2 linked regions of the Mytilus edulis genome follow. The protein of the gene in region 1 purifies or fractionates together with the protein of each later gene. This does not show direct contact. Links are inferred from orthologs where the notes say so. Each region holds a gene or a part of one and is shown in the gene's direction. Other genes may lie near its edges. The genes, in order: leucine-zipper-like transcriptional regulator 1 and ras-like protein rasD.

Region 1 (12,557 bases):
AATGCTTTGGTTTTTGAGTTATAAGCCAAAAACTGCATTTTACCCCTATGTTCTATTTTTAGCCGTGGCGGCCATCTTGGTTGGTTGACCGGGTCACGCCACACATTTTTTAAACTAGATACCCCAATGATGATTGTGGCCAAGTTTGGTTCAATTTGGCCCAGTAGTTACAGAGGAGAAGATTTTTGTAAAAGTTAACGACGACGGACGACGACGGACGACAGACGACGGACGACGACGACGGACGCCGGACGCAAAGTGATGGGAAAAGCTCACTTGGCCCTTCGGGCCAGGTGAGCTAAAAAACATATGGTATTTTTTGTTAATTACTTTACTTAACAAACATAAAAATGCATCTTTGATTGCATGCTTGCTGTCACCTTGATGATTGACCGCCATACTTTTTTTCATGCATCACATGATCCCTAACTGCAATTGGTAACAGGTAAATCATTTTTATTCAAGGACAGACTTTTACCAATACCACATCTTTTGCTGATGTGTGTTGTTAATATGTTAAAGTGTTTCATGAGTAACATTGATTAAATTATTGTTTGTCCAGTGGCAAATATTACATGCATGTATAAGCAAGAACAAATGATCAATAAATATAATAAATAAAGGAAGTGAAGACTAGTAGATGTTGTTGTCTTTTTATAGTTTGTAATTAACCCAATAGATAAGGTTCTATAAGCATGATAAGTATGGGTTTGGGTAGACAGGGGAACTAGAGGCTCTAAAGAGCCTGTGTCGCTCACCTTGGTCTATGTGCATATTAAACAAAGGACACAAATGGATTCATGACAAAATTGTATTTTGGTGATGGTGATGTGTTTGAAGTTCTTACTTTACTGAACATTCTTGCTTCTTACAATTATATCTATAATGAACTTTGCCCATTAGTAACAGAGAAAAATATTTGGTAAAAATTTACATAAATTTACCAAATTAATGAAAATTGTTAAAAATTGACTATAAAGGGCAATAACTCCTTAAGGGGTCAATTGACCATTTAGGTCATGTGGACTTATTTGTAGATCTTACTTTGATGAACATTATTGCTGTTTACAGTTTATCGCTATCTATAATAGTATTCAAGATAATAACCAAAAACAGCAAAATTTCTTTAAAAATTACCAATTGGAGGGCAGCAACCCAACAACCGGTTGTCCAATTCATTTGAATATTTCAGGGCAGATATATATTGACTTGATTAACAATTTAACTCCTTGTCAGATTTCCTCTAAATAATTTGGGTTTCAGAGTTGTAAGCAAAAAACTACATTTTACCCCTGTTCTATTTTTAGCCGTGGTGGCCATCTTGGTTGGATGGCCAGGTCATCGGACACATTTTTCAAACAAGGTACCTCAAAGATGATTGTGGCCAAGTTTGAATTAATTTGGCCCAGTAGTTTCACAGGAGAAGATTTTTGTAAAAGATAACTAAGATTTACGAAAAATGGTTAAAAATTGACTATAAAGGGCAATAACTCCTAAAGGGGTCAACTGACCATTTCGGTCATGTTGACTTATTTGTAAATCTTATTTTGATGAACATTATTGCTGTTTACAGTTTATCTCTATCTATAATAATATTCAAGATAATAACCAAAAACGGCAAAAATTTCCTCAAAATTACCAATTCAGGGGCAGCAACCCAACAACAGGTTGACCGATTCATCTGAAAATTTCAGGGCAAATAGATCTTGACCTGATAAACATTTTTACTCCATGTCAGATTTCCTCTAAATGTTTTGGTTTTTGAGTTATAAGCCAAAAACTGCATTTTACCCCTATGTTCTATTTTTAGCCGTGGCGGCCATCTTGGTTGGTTGACCGGGTCACGCCACACATTTTTTAAACTAGATACCCCAAAGATGATTGTGGCCAACTTTGGATTAATTTGACCCATTAGTTTCAGAGGAGAAGATTTTTGTAAAAGATTACTTAGATTTATGAAAAATGGTTAAAAATTGACTATAAAGGGCAATAACTCCTTAAGGGGTCAACTGACCATTTTGGTCATGTTGACTTATTTGTAAATCTAACTTTGCTGAACATTATTGCTTATACAGTTTATCTCTATCTATAATAATATTCAAGATAATAACCAAAAACGGCAAAAATTTCCTCAAAATTACCAATTCAGGGGCAGCAACCCAACAACGGGTTGACCGATTCATCTGAAAATTTCAGGGCAAATAGATCTTGACCTGATAAACATTTTTACTCCATGTCAGATTTCCTCTAAATGTTTTGGTTTTTGAGTTATAAGCCAAAAACTGCATTTTACCCCTATGTTCTATTTTTAGCCGTGGCGGCCATCTTGGTTGGTTGACCGGGTCACGCCACACATTTTTTAAACTAGATACCCCAAAGATGATTGTGGCCAACTTTGGATTAATTTGACCCATTAGTTTCAGAGGAGAAGATTTTTGTAAAAGATTACTTAGATTTATGAAAAATGGTTAAAAATTGACTATAAAGGGCAATAACTCCTTAAGGGGTCAACTGACCATTTTGGTCATGTTGACTTATTTGTAAATCTAACTTTGCTGAACATTATTGCTTATACAGTTTATCTCTATCTATAATAATATTCAAGATAATAACCAAAAACGGCAAAAATTTCCTCAAAATTACCAATTCAGGGGCAGCAACCCAACAACAGGTTGACCGATTCATCTGAAAATTTCAGGGCAGATAGATCTTGACCTGATAAACATTTTCACCCCATCAGATTTCCTCTAAATGCTTTGGTTTTTGAGTAATAAGCCAAAAACTGCATTTTACCCCTATGTTCTATTTTTAGCCGTGGCGGCCATCTTGGTTGGTTGACCGGGTCACGCCACACATTTTTTAAACTAGATACCCCAAAGATGATTGTGGCCAAGTTTGGAATAATTTGGCCCAGTAGTTTCAGAGGAGAAGATTTTTGTAAAAGATTACTTATATTTATGAAAAATGGTTAAAAATTGACTATAAAGGGCAATAACTCCTAAAGGGGTCAACTGACCATTTCGGTCATGTTGACTTATTTGTAAATCTAACTTTGCCGAACATTATTGCTGTTTACAGTTTATCTCTATCTATAATAATATTCAAGATAATAACCCAAAACAGCAAAATTTCCTCAAAATGACCAATTCAGGGGCAGCAACCCAACAACGGGTTGACCGATTCATCTGAAAATTTCAGGGCAGATAGATCTTGACCTGATAAACATATTTACCCCCATGTCAGATTTCCTCTAGATGCTTTGGTTTTTGAGTTATAAGCCAAAAACTGCATTTTACCCCTATGTTCTATTTTTAGCCGTGGCGGCCATCTTGGTTGGTTGACCGGGTCACGCCACACATTTTTTAAACTAGATACCCCAATGATGATTGTGGCCAAGTTTGGTTCAATTTGGCCCAGCAGTTTCAGAGGAGAAGATTTTTGTAAAAGTTAACGACGACGGACGATGGACGACGGACGACGACGGACGCCGGACGCAAAGTGATGGGAAAAGCTCACTTGGCCCTTCGGGCCAGGTGAGCTAAAAAGGCAGTGAAATTGGACAGCCACTGGGAATTTATTCACTAGAAGGATTGAAACATACCTGATGATTTCAAGACAATTTTGGTAGTTTCTGGATGGTATACAAATAGCATTGGCAAAAAGGGTCCTAACCAACCACGAGACACTTTTGGAAATAATCCAGTCTGTTCTCTCTGGAACTTGAGCCCTTCATCGTTAATACCTGGGAACTATAAATAGATAGTAAATTTAGTAATATTTACCCGAAGATTTTAGAACTAATTTAGTTGTATCAGGATGATATATACAGATCAGTGGAATAAATGGTCCAAGCCAAAATCTAGATGCCCATGGAAATTCTGCCACCCATTCTTTAGTCCACTGCAAACCTGCCTCGTTCGGACCTGGATACTAAAATATGATAATTTAAGCTCAATAGAATATATATGTGCATGTACTAAATGTTTGTACGACATACATGTAGTTGAATCAAATAATTATTCAGGCACATGTTCAGTTGAATATGGGACAATTAACTATAAACTGAAAATTTGGACTATCATTGGAAAGAAAAAAAAAAGACTTCAGATGATTTTAACATGTTCATGAGAATCATGTTTACACTAGCAATTTTAATCATCCATATTGTAAGTTTGTTTTTCATCAATTGGTCTAAAGTCCAGTTGCAAATATTTCATGCATTATTGAATGAGAACATGTTGATAAAATATGAGATGTGCTAGGCTGACACACATGTCATGAACAAGATTATTATCATACTAGTTTACAAGGTTTAAAATTCACCGTTACAGCTGGAAGGAAGACATATCACTCTACTAGGACAAATATAGAATTTTGACTCGACGACCAAAAAGACTTGCTATTAATCATTGATGCCAAATGCTGGTCAAAAGAGAAGAAAATACTTAGTTTCAAGTCTTTGATCTAATCATGCTAATCAGGTAATGGATCAAACCAAAATCTCACAGTAAACCAGACAGACAATACATTGGCATGTTGATGTGTTATCCTATGAGGTACAATGTATACAAATGTTTGGTAAGAAGTATTTCCAGGGTGTACTTTTTTAGTACATGTACCTTTAGCATATTTAGTGTTGGTTTGTTCATCTTATTCATCTTTCAAATTTACCAGTAAATTGATTAATGAAGAGGTTGGAGATTGCTGTTTTAGAAAAACATCTCTCTATTTAAGAAAGATATACATGATATACATTGATATATGATTATCTCTGTTGAATTCATTTATAATCTTTCATCAATATTCTTAAGAACAATATGTTGCCCATGAAATAATTTTTGTTCAACTTTCTCTGAAGATTTTACTGATATTTCTTTAATTTTGTGGTTTTGTAGGTAATTTTTAATAATTTAAGAGGTAATGGTGTGACAAAAAAACATCCTCATAAAATTAAATCCCATATTCCACTTAAGAGTATACGATACAGTTTTGATCAAATATTGAAATTTTGCTGAAAATTTGCATATCAGCTATTTTTTGCCTGATTAAATCAAATATGTAATAAAAAATAAACCTGAAGTTCATGTGCTACTTTTTGAGTAAAATGAGGTCTAAATTTTATATATTTGCTCAAAAGGATTTGTGAACGTATTTTTCCTTTGACAGAAATACATAACTTTTTTTGTTTTAAAAGATAAACACAAGCTGTTTTTTGTCAAATTATCTTATATAAACATCCTTTAAATTTGTGCATTTTTTTTTTTTAAGTCACTCATATTTATCAAATGTTCACAAATGTAGAAAAAAACATCATTTTTTTATGTATATTTATCAAATTTAAAATAATTGCACTATCGACGAAAATTGGCACACCCAATCTTCTTACGTAATCAAACCAAATGGCATTTTAAAAAAGAGGGGTCCATGCGTAACTCGTTTTCAAGTTAAATAAGTTTGAATGATAAAAATCAGTCAAAAACAGAATCTTTTCCCGATAAGTCATAGTTTGACGTCGCAAAAATAACAATTTACATTACCTCCCCTGTAACTGAATCGTATGCCCTTAAATAATGTGTCCATTCCCACATCAAGATATAAATAAATTCTAAATTCTGTACGATTTAAATTGCTATTCCAGAATTCTTGCAAAATAAAATGGCTCAATTCCCATGTCTTTACAAAGGTCCTTCATTTGTTACGCAGCGGAGGTAACTGCATGACGCCTAGTCCAAATAATTATGACGTCTTGAAAGGCTATTATAATTTTTTCTTTGACGCAAGGCGTCAAAGAAAAAATTATAATAGCTAGCCTTTCAAGACGTCATAATTATTTGGACTACATGACGCCCCTCTGCCTAGCATGCCTAGTGTAAAAATGCTAGGAATAAGTATAAATTAATGTATAGATATAGGTATCTGATCAGAAAAATCATTGCAATGGCAAATTTTCATCAAGTTTATTACTACTTAATAAGTTACAAACTTCTTTCAGGTTTCCCCAAATCAAATGAGCCGGTCTTCCTGGAAAACTTTCTATCATTTTGTTTCTTTTTGATGTCCACAAAAACCATTCTGAAAACTTAGTAGCCAAGTAGTAAATAGAAAACAAAATGACGGATGACACTATCAACGTGAAAACTATCGCCATTTTGACTGTCAATTAATAGTTTGGGTCATCAATCCATTTCTAATCTGCTATCAACAGTGATCAAAAAGTAAACAAACAGCACATGAGTGCTTTCGGATAGCTCAGGAACGAGGAGTTCCGATCAACACTTCCGGTCATTTTGTAAACACATGAAAGAATAAAAATTAGGGCCTCGAAAACCAGAAAATGCCGTTAAAATGTAGATGAATTGATAAAAAACGAGAAGACAAATGGAATTTATGGTATGAGATCAGTAAATGATAACAGACGGTACACGTTTTTTTTTTCAGTTCAATAAATAATTTTCAAACAGGAAAAAGTTCTAAAAAGAGACAAAATGCACACAAAACATGGATTTCTACTGTTTTAGTCACTTCGACTCATAGTCAAATCGGCACCAGTTATAGTCAATTCTGCACTTAGTCAAATTGGGACCTGTAGTAGTATTTCTGTTGTGTACAGGGAGTGGTTCTGGATACAGTGTATGGGGTACTTCAAATTAAACTCCAGACAGAAAAACGATTTACAATCATATATATAAAGAAAGTAAATATGTATTCAATACAATTATCAATATTTAATATGAGTGTAACGGAGGGGTTTGGTGACGACACCTCCCGGGACGTGTAGTGGCCTGTACTTTGCCCCTATTCGACCAGCGTGATACCTGATATCAGATAATGGCTGAACAGCAGACAAAAAATCAAATGAAACTATAGTTTATTCACAAATGTACAATAATACATAATTTCATGCTTGCATCACAGCTGAAGATTGACCAATCAGATAATTAGATTGTGTTTATCTATTTGAATATAGGAGTTGAAGCGGTGGCAAATCCTCGGGTTTTACCATATATAGGTACACAAACTTAAAACTCAATTTAATTTTTGTTGAATCATTAAAATTAAATTTAAGATCGTTTTTTCAAATCTCCTTATCATATTAGACATGTGTTTTAAAAATCTTTGTGATATCTTTTACCATTTGGTTTTAAATTGGAACTAAAAATTGTTTTTTCCCATAGAGTTTGAGGTAAAATTCAGAGAATTTCACCTCCTAGAAATTAAAAGTGCCAGGATGTTCGAAAATATGTATTGCATGTATTAAACAAAGTCAATGGAGTTCAAAAATAGAGTAATATCAAATGTAAAATGAAAATAAAGTGTTCCGAGAGTTAGTCTTAAACGTAAATTAAAATAGCTTCGTGTTGTGTATTTAAAGTAGTGAAATTGCACCAAAAAGGGGTGATTAACTCTGGCGAACTGCACTGACGAGGTGACTAACTCTAGACTCAAGTAGACTGATACAGTCCGTCGAGTATTTGGAGGCCTGTGTAAGGCAGACTCCGACTGAATATCAAATGATATTCTAAACTTGTCATTAATCAGGCTAACTTTAACAGAAAAGGTACTGAAGAAAAGTTGAATAAATATATTCTTAAAACATTATAAAAACATCAAAAGTTAAATACTAAAACAGTAGAATTAACATTCTTTACTTTTATCATACTATTTTTAAATCAAATTTAACTTAAAATAAACATTTAAATACTAAATAATTAATCTGTCCAAATTAAGGGAATTAATCAGGCACATCAACATGATCAAAGCACATCTATTACAATGAGGCAGGCATAACCTGTGAATGGGGACAAAGTCTGTATACATTATTTTTTTTATTCAAACATATTGATAAAAGAAACGGAAATACTGAAACATTCCCGATTTTGGTTCTGTTGTTAGGGATTTAGCTGTGACGTTCTTTAAGTTATGACATCATATTCAAAGTAGACAAAAGAAACGCTTTCATCAAGTAACGTTTTTTTCATATCAAACAATTATTAAAAATGAATTTGTATTGAGTTCCAATCTTATATTTTACTAGACCATGTAGACTGATAAATATATATTTTATTCAAAGTCTCATGCAAACAAGAAAAAAAAAGTTAATGATTTTATAGCTATAAATACGTTACCATCATAAATTCTGAGTGTAACCCCAATTGCGTCATAGGTCAGATGGAAAATCCCAACTAAAAATAAACATACTCTCACTGGTCCGGACATATACCCCTGTTTGAAATGGTTTGCCCATATTCTTCCATTCAATTTCCATCTGCGACATCGGTCACACGTGCACATCAAGTTTTACAGATTCAACAGAGAAGTGTTTAGTTTTTTGAATAGCTTAATTGCTTTTCATATATATTGTGTATTTTATTGGAAATATATTCCCTTGTTTTGTTTAAATTTCTAAACAAATTATTTGTGTTTTTGACTAAAGTAAAATTTATTATGGACTTTAATTTGAATAGTCCGTATGTAAGTATTCCTGGTTCGGACTATCTCTTAGATGGGTCACTACCTTTAAGTCCCCCCCAAACTACCAGTACATTGACCGGAGTTTCGACAACGGTGTCTGGTAATGCTACCTATCCGACCCTTTCACAAGGTTCGGCCATGCATTTTGGGGGGGTACCTACGTCAACTTCGGTGACTCATACTTTATCTAGGTCTGTTAATTCAGCGGGTACTATTAGTTCTGTCCCAGGTACAGCTATGGGCTTGAACTTGCCAGGTTCTAGACCCCCATTATCCTATTGTGGGTATATGCTTCCCAACACGGGCACACAACCTTTACCCTCATGGTCTCAGCCACCTTGGCCACAGTCTTACCCTTATGGTGGGTTTATGCCAAACCAACCTGGTTTTTGGCCTTATAGGGACAATTTCTATGGTCCCCCTTCTGGGGTAGCTACTGCACCACCTTTAGCTCCTGCTCTACCCGTAGCAGTATCTTTGACTTCTGCAGTAGCTCCTTCTACCACCGTACCTGACTCTCAAGCTTCTAGTTCTTCTCATGGTACTCAGGTTTCTGATCATGCATCACCTTTGGATGGTTTACAGAAGTTACTTTTAGACTTTGGTGAGTCTTTCAAGGCTGAATTTAGTACTCTATCCAGTCGTATGACTCTACTGGAAAATAGAGTTTCTTCTCATCAACCTTCTCCAGCTAAGTCTGTAGAATGTGATGAGAGTGAGGATGACGAGCTTTCTGTTTCCCCTGGGAGTCATGAAAGGGCTTTCCTCACTGATGAGGATGTTGAAAGTTCTTCTTCTCCCAAGGTATCGAAGACGGCCCCTGAGCCTTCTTCTAAGTCAGCTCAACAACCTCCCACCAAGGAGACTGAGGATCCTCCTTCCTTGAAGGATCTAAGGGATAAGGTGTATACCTTGATGAGGGATGAAGCACATATCCCTTTTCTCTCTCCTTCCAAGCCGAAGAAACCTTCTTCAACTTTTGAAGCTTCCTGTGGTATTTCTCAGGATACTGTGACTTCTCACAATTCTTTTCCTGAATCTGGCCATATGACTTTTGCTTTACAATTTATTAATGAAGGTATCGCTAATTCTGCTAGTGAAAAGGTTACTAATAACAATATCTCAGGATTTGGAATGTCATCCTTTTCTGATCAGGTTAAGTACAAGGATTTTGATATCTTTGATTCTTCACTGGGTAGACTTGTTCCCAGTTGTGACAAATCTATGTCATCTTTATTGGGAAAAAAGCCAGTAGATGGTCTTCGTCTCACTCAACCTGTTTGGTCAAAGACTGAGAATCTCCTTCGTAGTGCTTCTCAAGTTCTTGGCACAGCCGAACATTTTCTAGCTGCAACCGGACATTTGCTTAACAGCGAAGATTCGGTTGTTCCAGCAGAAGTACGATCCTTCTTACTTCAACTGGATAAAGCTTTAGGTTCATCTCAGTTGCTTTTAATGGGTTCTATTGCTAATTGCACCCTATCTAAAAGAGCAGAGTTTCTTGAAAACATTTCTATCGCTGAGCCTTTGAAAGATTCTTTACTGAAATCTCCACTCTCTGACAAGATGTTTGGTTTACCCTTACAGCGGGTTCAAGAGGAACTCAGCAAAAACCCTCCTCCAGTCAAAGTTAGTGTACAAGTTACTAATGGCAAGAGGTCGGTTAATGCTACCTCTAGTTCTAATAGTACTTCTGCTTCAGGTGGTCCTCCTTCTTCTGCTAAGAAAAGGAAGAATAACTACGGCAAACCGCAGAACAAACCCAATAACTCAGGAAAAAGCTCAGGTAAGCCTTCTGGTGGTTTTAAGGGTTCCAAGAAACCTGGGTCTAGTACCTAGGTTCTTGCCCCCTCGTACGTTATTGACAGCTTCCCCAGGGGAAAATTTACAACAAGTTCCTCAAAAATCAATACCAGTAGGGGGGAGGTTAAGTTTTTTCCTAAATCAGTGGAAGAAAATTACCTCAGACTGTTATGTGCTGTCAATAATTCGAGGGGGATTAACACTTCAGTTCAAGAACCCACCTCCTCTATCTGCAGTTCCAATAAGTTTGTCTCATACACAAGACCCAGTCAAGTGTCAACTTCTATCAGTAGAAGTGGACACTATGTTACAAAAAGCTGCAATAGAGGAGGTGTCGATCTTAACTCTGTCTCCGGGATTTTATTCCCGTCTTTTTCTGGTTCCAAAGAAGACTGGAGGAATGAGGCCAGTCATAGACCTATCTATTCTGAACAAATTTCTTATTGTTCCCCCCTTCAAAATGGAAACAAACAGATTTATCAGGGTTTCAATCCTTCCAGGAATGTGGACTACTTCTCTGGATCTTTCAGACGCGTATTTCCACATTCCCATTTCCAAAACTTACAGGAAATACCTTCGCTTCGTTTGGAACAACAAAGTTTTCCAGTTCAAGGCTCTCCCTTTTGGCCTGTCTACAGCCCCTTTGGCTTTTACCAAAATCATGCAGGCAGCTATAGCTCACCTACATTCCCTGTCTATTCAGATTCATTCCTATCTGGACGATTCCCTTCTCAAGGAATTTTGCCCAATCAAATTGAGGGTTCAGACAGACTTGGTCATCAATTGTTTTCTGTCCCTAGGCTTTCTTATCTCTTGGAAAAAGTCAGAGATAATTCCGTCTCAAGACTTTGTTTTCCTGGGAGAACATTTCCTTACCAGTGTAGGCCTAGTCCTCCCACCAGAGGAGAAATTTACAAAACTATGTCAGAAAATACATTTATTCCTGACGGTTCAATCAGTCACAGCACGTCAATTCTTGCAACTTCTGGGTCTATTGAACTCTCTGGCAGATGTAATTCCATTGGGACGACTTCACATTCGTCCGCTTCAGTTTTATCTGCACAAGTTATGGATTGCAGCTTCACAAGAATGGGAAGCATTGATTCCAATCACTCAGCCTTTATTTCCACACCTTCAATGGTGGTTAGTACGGGAAAATGTAATGAGGGGCCTATGTCTGTCCCCTCAAGTTCCCAGTCTAACATTATTCACAGATGCCTCCACCCTCGTTTGGGGAGCATATCTGGAGGGGCTTACAATCTCGGGAGTCTGGAGTCCAGATCTTTTGGAAGAGCATATCAATGTATTGGAAATGAAAGCAGTTCTGTTTGCACTGAATCATTTCCAAATGTCTCTAAAGAATCAGTCTGTCATTCTGGCCACGGACAACACAACAGTTGTAGCTTATCTCAAGAATCAGGGAGGAACTCATTCACCTTCTCTTTATCAGATAGCCAGAGACATTCTCCTTCTGTGTTTTCAACTCCAGGTTCATCTAGTGGTGAGACATATTGCGGGGCACCTCAATATTCTAGCCGACACTCTATCAAGATCCCTTGCTCCAGTAAACACGGAGTGGGAACTACTTCAAGTAGTTTTCAAAGCTGTGACTCTTCATTGGGGGTCACCTCAGATAGATCTGTTTGCGACCAGTCTCAATCACAAACTTCTAACATTTGTGTCTCCGGTTCCAGATCCAAAATCTTTTGCGGTAGACGCAATGAGCCTATCTTGGAAAGGAATGTTCGGGTACGCCTTCCCTCCTTTCAGGTTTCTCTCCCCAGTACTTCAGAAAATAGCAGGGGAAAATTGCAAGATCATAGTTATTGCTCCAGCATGGCCAAAACAGTCTTGGTTTCCAGACCTTCTGCGCCTATCATGTGCTTGTCCTCTAGTTCTACCTCTGAGACCAGACCTTCTGTCTCAAATCAAGGGCAAGGTTCTTTATCAAAATCCAGAAAAACTTCATCTACACGCCTGGCTTCTCTCAGGGTTAGCCTCAGAAAGAGAGGTTTTTCTGAAGGAGCAACCAAGCATCTCACAAAGTCTGTCAGAGACTCCACTAGCATTGTCTATGATGCAAAATGGTCAATCTTCTCAGATTGGTGTAGTGAGCGGGAAATTGATCCTTTCCAAGTCACTGTACAACAATTAGCAGACTTTCTAGTTTTTCTTTTTGAATCCAAAGGATTATGTCCCTCTACTATTAAGGGATATAGATCAGCTATCTCAAGAACTATTCATATTTCTGGTGGCCCAGATTTTGGAATCAATGAGCATAT
Region 2 (11,760 bases), on another chromosome or scaffold:
GGAATGATGATGCAACTAGAATAAAAATTTGAGAATTTTGATCGACAGGATTTGGCATCTTCACATTATAAAAAGAGCATCGTTAAAAATGGATTATATAAGAATTTAAAGGACAATAATCACAATAGCTCCAACATCGTAGTGTGCGTATAAAAGTGATGCAACTCACAAGTGCAAGATCCTTAATACTCAACTGAGATATGGATTATATTTTTTATATGTAACAAACTTATGGCCTTGAAGAACAGATCTGATTTCAGTTGTATTTAGAATAAATAATTTAAAAAAAAAAGAACATCTCAAAATAATTACGATTCAACTCTATATTCTTGATGAATTAAGGTCTTCAACTTTTACACTCGAAATCAAAAGGGAAATTACTCATAGGAACAATACAGTTAATTAGATTTTACACTACACCGAAAAGAAGTTTTTACTCTGAAATTTGCATTTCAAGCCTGAAAACCTACGACACAGAAAACTAAGGATGGGTGTTTAAGAAAACAGAACTCTGTGAACGTCTGCTTCTGCTTGCCAGGATTTATGGCGGGTTCCTTCCGTACAATACATGATTTGGTTGAGTTCTGTCAAAAAGGAAATTTGATACCCCTTTTTTTTTATCTTGATCGTTTTTCGTCTCTTCAAACCGATTAGGAAGTGTTAATCCTTCTGGAATCCCTGAGTGTTTTGTGGATATAGTGGAACAATTGTATGCAATCGTACGGTTTATCACAAGTAACTCCAAACAAGATTATAAACTACAAAAAGTGTTAATTCTGTGTGTACCTGTCAATGTCAAAAGCTTATAATTATGTGGTTTTCGTTTGTTTCTGTATATCATATTCGTCTTTCGTTTGCTGGTTCCTTTGTACACAAGTCAAACCGTTACTTTACTCATTTTGTTGTGTTAGGTCTTTTATATATATTGCTATGCGTTATGGTTGAGGCGAAAGATACCAAAAGATACATGGCTAACATCTACGCCATTTGGTTCATGGTGGATTGTTGTCTCATTTGCACTAAGGATTTACTTGTTTGGTTTTATAAATATTTTGATATGAGCGTCACTGATGAGTCTTATGTAGACGAAATGCGCGTCTGGCGTACTAAAATATAATCCTGGTACCTTTTATAACTTTTTGCAATCATACCACATCTATACTAAACACAAATACGAATAAAGCTGATTATGTTGATAGTGGTAATATCTGAATCAAAATTGTTAAATATTGGTTTTCTTAGACTGTTTTGCTTTCGTTTCTTTGAATATTACACTTCCATTTTTAATAAACATTTTTTTCGTATTCAATAGATTGTTCTTTCGATTAATTTTATTTTTAATGTATCAGTTGTAGATGTAACAATTATTTTTATGCCCCATTTATGGGCGTTATGTTTCCTGGTCTGTTCGTTCGTCCCTCTGTTTCGCTTCAGAATCAAGTTTTTTGGTCGAGATAGTTTTTGATGAAGTTGAAGTCCAATCAACCTGTAACTTAGTACACCTATGCTATGATATTGCTAAATCAGAGTTTTTATCCCACTTTCACGGGCCACTGAACATAGAAAATGATAATGCGGATGGGGCATCTGACTACTATGGACACATTCTTGTTATTAAGGGAAAAAGTGCTGATCATACATAAGCATATATACTTTTTAACCCTTATATCTTTAGTGATTTTTATTTGTTTTTTTTCTTGATAATATTTATATTTGATTTGGAGAGTACACCGTCAAGCAATTTGTATTCTTTTCGATAGGGACGAACTATCCTATTATTCGTGTTGCTCGGTTAGTTTTATATGTTGTGTTTTGTGTACTATTGTTGGTCTGTTGGTCGTTTTCTTTTTCAGCCATGGCGTTTTCAGTTTATTTTCTATTTATGAGTTTGAATGTCTCCTTGGTATTGTTCGCCTCTCTATTTTGAAGATTTCTTTCATTACTGCTTCACGTCATAAATAGTTACGGGCAACAATTGTTCGCGGGTATTTGCAACACTACCTACATGCAGATGTTTTACGAAAAAGTCTCTGCTAACAATCCAGAGTTTCCTGAATATACAAATGAAATACATAAAATTGAGAATGGAAATGGGGAATGTGTCAAAGAGACAACAACCCGACCAAATAAAAAAACAACAGCAGAGAGTCAACAACAGGTCTTCAATGTAGCGAGAAATTCCCGCACCCGGAAGCGTCCTTCAGCTGGCCCCTAAACAAATATAAACTAGTCCAGTGATAATGAACGCCATACTAATTTCCAAATTGTACACAAGAAACTAAAATTAAAATAACACAAGACTAACAAAGGCCAGAGGCTCCTGACTTGGGACAGGCGCAAAAATGCGGCGGGGTTAAACATGTTTGTGAGATCTCAACCCTCCCCCTATACCTCTAACAAATGTAGAAAAGTAAACGCATAACAATACGCACATTAAAATTCAGTTCAAGAGAAGTCCGAGTCTGATGTCAGAAGATGTAACCAAAGAAAATAAACAAAATGACAATAATACATAAATAACAACAGACTACGTAGCAGTTAACTGACATGCCAGCTCCAGACTTCAATTAAACTGACTGAAAGATTATGATTTCATCATATGAACATCAGGCACAATCCTTAGGGGTTTAGTATCATACCATCATAACATATATGAGAAGAACATAACCCGTGTCATGCCAGCAACTGTTTTTAGAATAAATGTGTTTAGTTCCGATGCAAAGACCTTATCAGTGACTCAATATTAACGCCAAAATATGCAATCTTTAATGACTTGACAACAGTATCGTAATTATATCCCTTCTTAATAAGTCTATTCAAAGGTTTTGTAAGTTTCTGAGGTGAATACTGACACCTTTGTGCTTTATAAAGAATATTTCCATAAAAAATTGGATGTGAAATACCTGAACGTATTAGAAGTCTGCATGTTGAGCTATATTTACGAATGATGTCTTTATACCGATGATCTATATCTCATTTAAGTCCAAGGTCACTGTGACATTGATTGTTGTAATCAGTTTTGTATAACTTAATATTGATAATTTTATCATTTTAATCTGCATATGGTGACAACGGGAATTTATTTTCCCAATCTGTCAACAGTTACTGTTGCCATGATGGATACGTTCCATTTTCTCCTTATTTGGCGTACGTTTCTCTCCAAACTGCCACCATCACTGCCTCCAATATCCAACAACAATCATCATAGCCTCCCTGTCATGCCACATGTGTAGCAGTATCTGCTTGCTCTTCCGGAGCACCTGATATCCCCCCCCCCCCCCCAGTTTTTGATGGGGTCGTGTTGCTTAGCCTTTAGTTTTCTATGTTGTGTCTTCTGTACTATTATTTGTCTATTTGTCTTTTTTTTAGCCATGGCGTTGTCAGTTTATTTTCTACCTATGAGTTTGACTCTTACTCTCCCTGGTATCGTCCCTCTTTTGTAGTTAAATAAGAGCCAATTTCCAATCCGATTTTGTGTGATTTTTAATGACTTGATTTGACTTATTAATCTATTCTATAGGAAATACACGACGTACGGGTTTTGCATGTTGAACAGGATCTGTTTTTCCCTTCTGTATCACATGAAATCACCTCCGGGTTTTGTTTGGTGGTTAACGTTCTCAGACTTTATTTTTCTATGTTGTGTTGTGTTTTGTTAACAAAATATCTTCTAAATTGCAACTCAAACGACTGAACCCACTTTAAGCAAAAACAGAAATAATATAAGTGCCATTGCACCGCGGAAACCCAGATATTAAAGAAATATCATATTCATACTGACATAACAAATGACAACTCTTTTGGTCATGTAGTAGACAAACCAACAAGAGGTGAAAGAATACTATAGATCTTATCTTAAAAATTGCCCCACACATAAAAAATAAATTGGAGGTAATGCCACCTATTGGGACATCGTAATCACTGAATGTACAATATCACTAAAAAAAAATAAAAGAGCAACAAGAAAAGTCCACCAATTCATAAAGCAAACTGGGAAAGCATTAAGACATCCAACTACTAAAAGAAACGATCAAAATAATTTATGGTAAAAGTAAAACCAATGAGTTTATAAACACCATCAGTGCTTATAGGTCAAAAACAAATAACATAAAAAAAAAAGAAATTGCCTTGGATCACAGACCAACTAAGAATCAAATTTAAAAGAAAACAAAACGTCTGCATTAAGAATTAAAGAAAAATCAACAACTGCAAATAAATACACACACTTCATGTATGAAAAAACATTGCAGACAGACATGCGCTCGGCGAGCAATTCCCAAAAGCATTCACCACTGACAACCCAATACTAGTATATATCAACACATGCACAAATGGATAAAACTTTAATATCAGAAAAGAGCGTCAACAAATTCCTATACAACATTAACCCAAATAAACTGAGCCATTGGCATTGGTGAACTTAGTATGTGGATATATTTTAAAGGATTATCACAATCATCTTTCAAAGTCAATCAACACACATAGAATAACTACAGACTGAAAACATAAAAATAAGTTATTCCTGTATTAAAAACGAACACAATACCATAAAATACAGGTCAATATATACTTTGCAAAATAGTGGAGTAAAGTCAAACATGAAACACCTTAAGAGAAAAAAAAACCAATATATTATACGACCTTCAACGCGGCTTTTGATCTCAACTCTCACGTGAGACACAATTATATCTTTTATACACGATCTTGCATGGAGAAGACAACAATGACAACATATTATAACTAATGTCTGTGATGGACTTTTCCAAAGCTTTTGACAAAATCCCTAACAAAAGGTAACTGCATAATTACGATTTTACGCCATAGACCATAATACCTTGGAAAGGGTTTGTGATTGTTTTTACATCAACGTACAAAGACAGACACGCAAGATGAAGAACGATCAGAGAAAAAAGGGCAAGATCTTTAATAACACAGGGCACTTTCCTTGGCACAATTTAAATCCTTATCTTCATTAACGACTTCCCAGAATACTTACAACATAGCACTTTAAAGTTATTTGCCGATGACAGCAACACCTATAGAAACATCAAAACAAATAGTATGCATCCAAATTACAACAGGACTTATAGATGCAATAGCAAAATGGGAAAACACTCAGTTAATATCGTTCCATCCAGATAAATTATCCTCCATTCAGTTTCTAAGAATTACATACAAAAAAAAGAGAAACAAGTCAACAATGACTACATTCTTCATGGTCACTTTTTTCAAACTGATACTAGTATAAAAATATTATGCATAACCATTCAATCAGATCTTAAATGGAAAAAAAACCATGTAGATCATGATATAAGCAAATGCAAAACGACAGCTAAATTTTCAAAAAACGTAACATAAATGTATCTTCCAAAAAATAAACGAAAGGACATTCTAGTCGTCAGTTAGACCTGAAATGGAGTACAGCTCTTGTGCCTGGGCCATCACAGCACAACCAATTAAACCAATCAGATTGAGATGGTCTAACGAGGAGCTGCCAGCTACACATGGTAACATACCGCAATACCAGCTCGATCTGTCTCAAATATGCTTAAACATATACAATGACGGCATACACTAGTTTCCAAATCTGAGCAACATAAATTAAGAAGTTCTTTTTTATCTGAATAATGACAAATGAAGATTTACAGATTTTTTTTATACAGTTTTAATTTCCAGATGAGACACAAGTTAAGGTAAACAAATAGAGTTATCCCTCTTTGTACTGGTCCTCTCTCTCCTCAATTATATGTTTTTATCATGCTTTATCATTTTCAATCGAAAACAAACTCAATCAGTATGAATGTTAGATCAGGAACATATATATTATACTGTTCCTAGGTTAGATTGTGTGTGTTGTAAGTATGGATATTATATGAGCTTTGTGGTGTGTACTGATTTATATGGACCCTTTAAATCGGAATATAGACATTTGATTAGATCGAGGATTAGATACACTACAAATGAAACGAATACATGCAAGACTAGATGCTTTTTCTATGAATAATACACCAATATTTAGCAATATTTCATAACGATCTTCTAATCACATCAAACAGCAGAACAAATCACTTATGATAAAAAAAAATCATATTGGTTTTTACTGACCCCCAACCCTCTTAACTTAATTTGTGAAAAATTCATTAATCAAGAAGGGTTAGATCGAAATCAGTGTTAGTTTAAACATATTTATTTATAATGGATTGGGAAACAAGTTTTGCAACTAATATCCATCCCTTTCCACTTTGCGGGTGCCGGAATGCTGCCTTGTAGCAGCATTAGCCTACTCTTTTTCGAAATCTACAAGGGTGTCTTTAACGTGCAAGAGATATGGCTCTCTCTTAACACGGGTCAGTCATTTTCGTCTCCTTCCGACGGACTATCATTGTTTCCTCAAGACCATACTCGCAAATGGTGTCAAGGGAGAGCCGAAAATCCAGTCCCTGAACTTGATTTTCATCCCAGACGGGAATCGAACCAGGAAACTTTGTGTTAGTAGTCCGATGAATTAATCACTGCACCACGGCTCTTCATGTTGGATAAACTTTCCGATAAACAAAACTTGCAGCAATTTTAAGTTAAGTTTTTTATCCGACAATGATCTTTTGAGGTCTTACTGTTATAATCATTGATCATTTGTTCAACGGTTGACGATTTCAAAGAGCAGATTTTTATATTTGCTGTTTCACAAATTTTCTAAACACTGCATATATAAATATACACAGGATAACAATCGGATTATCCACAAAAAATATAAAAAAAAATAACTGAAATATATTTATTTCTTTCTGTTCAGTAATTTTACGTAATATTACTGAAAAAATACTTCTTTTTAATTGTACATAAGTCGCGGATGCAATGCCACGTAATAGTCAAAGTTGTGATTCAGTACGGAAATTTGAAGAAAAAGGCCGAAAGAATCATATAAATTTAGTGGCGAAATAAAGCATGTCTGGACCGAAATTACGTCAAACAAACTTTCAACCAATCACCGAACACGCACCTTAAGAAGATAAAAGTTACTATTTATAGATTGTATATTTGGGTATAAATATATTTAATAAGGAAACGGAGCATAACATAGAAAATGTAAACTATAAGGACAAGTAAAATGGAAATATGAATTCAAGTAATCACCACGGTGACAATTCTAAACCGAGGGAATATAAAATTGTCATTTTAGGCGATGGTGGAATCGGGAAAAGTGGTAAGGAACCAGATGACAAACTTTAAAACTAATTATCATTGTAAATGTAATTTCCCATGACAGTTGACACTGATTCACACGTGACACGGTTTGGAATGTGAAATATTTTAAATATTTTTCTGTGACCATTTTTTCAGCCTTTTGTTTATTTTTTAGTTTTCACAAATAAATGATGATTTAAGTCCACTACAAATTGGTGAAAAATTCTAACATTCTAATATCTGTTTGCAACTGGAACTAATTTGTATTAGATTTACAATATATATTGGTCCTAGTTTGCAAGAATTGCTGAATTACAGAGAAAACTATCCAAAAGTTTGGGTTAATTATGTCAAGAATTTGTATAGTAATACAAATAAATCCTTGATCATGTTAATTTACATTAAAAAAAGGTAGTCCAAATAATTATGAGGTCTGGCAAGGCTATTTTATTTTTTTTCTTGGACGCCTTCCTACAGCGTCCCAGAAAAAAATTAAAATAGCCTTGCCAGACGACATTATTATGTTGACTACAAAAAAGGCTGTTTCCACTTCTCTAAGGGAGCTATCATTTGATTTTTATGGGGGGATAGGATGAAATTTGAAAAAAATAGGCAGGACAGGAGTTTTGAGTAAAAAAAAAGGCAAGATGAGACACTTGCAAAAAATAAAGTCAGGACAACAATTTAGGTAAAAAAAAGTCAGGATAAACTAAAAAAAAAAGGCAGGACCAAACAGAGTGAAAAATAAAAAGGCAGGACAGAGATTACAGCTAAAAAAATGCAGGACAAAATTTTTCATCCTAGCCCCCCCATAAAAATCAAATGGTAGCTCCCTAAGGTAATTTTAATTTTACTGAGTTGGAAACCAGGCTAGCTTGTATAGAAAAAATAAATCCAAGTATATTAACTTTTTACACTCCTACATAGGCGTCTACTCCTGTATTTGGAAGACATAGAAAAAGAGTAGTCCTAGATGAATTCAAGTCACTTTGACACCTGGCAATACTGAATATCATTGTCATATTGGCACCTGGTATAGCATGTACATGTACATTTATAGTAAAACTGTTATATTTCATATTTTTTTAAAGATATTTTCGCCCATTCAATATGTTAACCTTCAATGTATTTGTCACCCATAATAAGTTCCAATGAAAACTGTTTCATAAACTATGCCAAAATACAAAATAATATAAATGACAGTGAACATTATATTATCAAGGATTGAACTTCAATTGCATGACCATTGTACATTGCTAGTAAACTACGAAATTGGTGCCAGCTTAATTTGTTGTCGAGCCTGCGATTTTTGTTGCAGAAAACTCTACATAGGGATAGTGATCCAGCGGTGGCGTTAGCTAACTTCTTTAAAGCTTAATATTTTATATTGGAAGACCAGGATGCTTCATACTTTGTATATATAGATGCCTCATGTTACATAGTTTCCGTCTGTAACATGTCCATTGTCCTTGACCTCATTTTCATGGTTCAGTGACTACATGTACTTGAAAAAAAAATTATGATTATTTTGTAAAGTTAATTTCTCTCTTATAATTACAAGTGATAGGATAACTATATTTGGTATGTGCATAAATGTACCTTGCAAAGTCTCCATGCCCTTCAGACAGTTTACACTTGACCTCAACTTCATTTCATGGATCATTGAACAAGGTTGAGTTTTGGTGATCAAGTCCATATCTCAGATACTATAAGCAATGTGTCTAGTATATATATTCGGTGTGGCATGGTTTATCTGACCTTGACTTTAATAACATGGTTCATTAGTCAATGTTTGTATGACTTGTTTAGTATTTATAACCTTGACCTCATTTTCTTGGATCATGTAAAGTTTATGTGAAAGTTGTAGTAAAGCTTTATATTTAGGACTATCAACATATTAGCAATGATAAGTAAAGAAAGCGAGACATTTCAGAGTGTGCTCTAGAGAATGCAAAAAGAAACCAACAATTTTTTAAAATTTAAATGACAATAATTTAATTTGTTATCCTAATCTGTGATAAAATGGCTTCTTTGTTTAATATAAGACTTTTCTGGGGCGTAGCTCCATATACGCTGTCACGCCATGACGTGCACATCGTGGGGTCTAAAAAAATAATTTACGCCGAAAATTACAAAAAAATATAAAATTTAACTTAAACAAGAAACGTAGACAACAATACAGTATAACTATTTTAATAACGTCACAATAATATTTCCGTATATATCAACCCTGACCAAAATACTTTTTAATTTATTTGTGAGAATTTTTTTTCTGGTACTCAAAGTAAAAAAGCAGCGTAAACATGAGCAGTTCAAAGCGTGACCAGCCGAAAGGGCAAACTTTAGACAATTTTTTAACCAAAATGCCTACTAACAGTACCAACGGTGATAGGCATGCAGAAACACAACTAGCAACAAATCAGGACAATATAGACTCTGAAACGTCCAAGGTTTACGATGAACCGGTAGCATAAGAGCCACATCAGTGTCAATGTCAAAGCCAGTACAAAAAAATCTGGGACCTTCTTTAATCCAGATATTTCTTTATTGAAAGATTCAAAATCATTAGGAAAAAATGTAAAGTTTAACAACTTTTGACTGACAAATGGAAAGATGTCCACACCTTCAAATTTCCGACAAGGTATAATCAATAAAAAAAAATGTAGTTCACGCCGTTGAACTAACAGGACTGCAGGGGTTGTAAATCCAATTTTGGCAAAAAATGACCAATTGACGTTTGTTTCATTTTTATCTCTCAACTTTGGATCCAACCCTGAACAATTTAACGAATTACAATAACCTTTATATGAGTTTGACTGTCCTTTTGGTATATTTCGCCCCTCTTTTATATGTAAATTACGATAATGGTAAATATTAATCTGAATTCCCTCTTTAAATCATTGTGTTGAAAGGCTACTTCATACTGTTCTGTTTTGACACCTTCCTGTCGAAATAAGGCCTCAATGCATTAAAAATAAAATAAAATAGCCTTTCAAGACCTCATCTGATTCCGCAGTACTAGTTGTTACTGAAATGTTGTGTTCCGAGCGAAATGATGATAATGAGTGTTTGGAACGAGCTATACCAAATCGCTCTAGATATAGCAGAGGCTTTTGATATAGTTGAAAATGTTCCTAGGCGGTGTTGAAGACAAACCTCGAGAGCTAGCCATCCAGCCGAAACACCTAAGGATTACTGGCGAATTTCTCTCTACTCCTCTATCCGTTTCTGGATCATATCGGATGACGGAACTTCATTCTCGACTTCTGAATTCAGAAAACCATTTTCATGCACAGTATCTTCTTCCGTGTGTATAGTCTGACAAATAAATAATGACCAAATTGTCACAATTCATCAGACATACCTGATAGATATATATCAGGTTGTCTTTAGAAGACTACAAGAGAGAGGTTGAACACTAGAGAGCTCGCTGTCGAATCCTACCTAGTGATAAAGTGCCAACATCACTGTGTCAAACGCTTGATATAGTTAACCCCGCATTGTATCTGTCTATTGATACAATACCTGTTGAGAAATCACAGATTACCTGCTTTGGGTTTTATGCACATCCACCGTGATTTTGAGGTCAATTTAGAATGGACGTTTTTGTTGCAGCTATAAATGCGTTGTTGCAGCTATAAATGCGAAGGGCAGATTTTTGAAAATTATTCAGGATGTTTCTAAATAAAAATGATCAAATACAGTCCTAATAATTTGCTATTCAAACCAATTTAGGCCCTCAGAACGCACCCTTTAGCGTCTAGCCAAAAAAACAAATCTTGGGGGGGGGGGGGGGGATTCCCCATAACGCCCCTGGTTGGCGTGCACTTCAAAAGGACCCAGCTTTTAACTTATTTTGATAATAAATTACAAAAACAAAAAATACCATGACTACATGATAATAGTTAAAACAACAAGTGGTTTATTGTTATAATTAAAACCATTTTAAATTCCCTATCAAACTAATATTATAAATAATATTAAGAATACTTCAACATGTTCATACAGCAATCATCTGATTTTTTTATTAACCTGTTACCTCTACAGTTGTACGTTTTGACAAAAGAAGATATTAAAAAAATAGAATAAATCAATGTTTCATCTTCCTGAATCCGGATCATTGATAAAAGTTTCCTTATTGACATACACCTAAAACAGCATATTAATTAAATCTTCTGTGTTACAAATAAAGCCTACTCAGATAGATAGATATACATCATCTGATCATATACACAATAAGTCATTCTGTAACTATACATATTTTATTTATCAAAAGCTCTTTGAACTGCAGCTACAAATGTACATGCATCAAATAAAAAAAACTTTGTATATCATCAGTCCTGATCACAAGTTTCTATTGCCTTGGTTGCACATTGTAAATACATCTGTTTCACAAACATTAACCATGCCTCCTTTTGGGAGATATATAATACCAATGTATTCATAGATATTTTGTCTAAGCTGCTTCCCAGATATGATCTCTTTGTTTCATCTACATGTATTCTAGCAGAGGCATAACTTGGGAATGTTACCAGTATAAATATACATAAATAGCAGTCATATTGAAATCTGTGG

What was found.
Region 2: the proteins of leucine-zipper-like transcriptional regulator 1 (region 1) and ras-like protein rasD purify together in Homo sapiens (affinity purification with mass spectrometry; 3 studies listed by BioGRID and IntAct, counting the BioPlex papers as one, with this or other methods). This does not show direct contact. The link is inferred for Mytilus edulis from reciprocal best matches to the Homo sapiens genes LZTR1 and RIT1.

What each region holds. Positions count from the first base shown.
Region 1 is NC_092349.1:70,501,799-70,514,355, reverse strand, and holds the start of leucine-zipper-like transcriptional regulator 1, read left to right. Parts: upstream 1-6,273; 5' UTR 6,274-6,390; exon of another isoform or gene 6,391-6,418; intron 6,419-12,557. Other genes in the region: cytochrome P450 4A25-like, read right to left, coding at 3,602-3,749, 5,984-6,148. UniProt on the Homo sapiens protein: Substrate-specific adapter of a BCR (BTB-CUL3-RBX1) E3 ubiquitin-protein ligase complex that mediates ubiquitination of Ras (K-Ras/KRAS, N-Ras/NRAS and H-Ras/HRAS).
Region 2 is NC_092347.1:47,980,184-47,991,943, forward strand, and holds the start of ras-like protein rasD, read left to right. Parts: upstream 1-6,988; 5' UTR 6,989-7,116; coding exon 7,117-7,204; intron 7,205-11,760.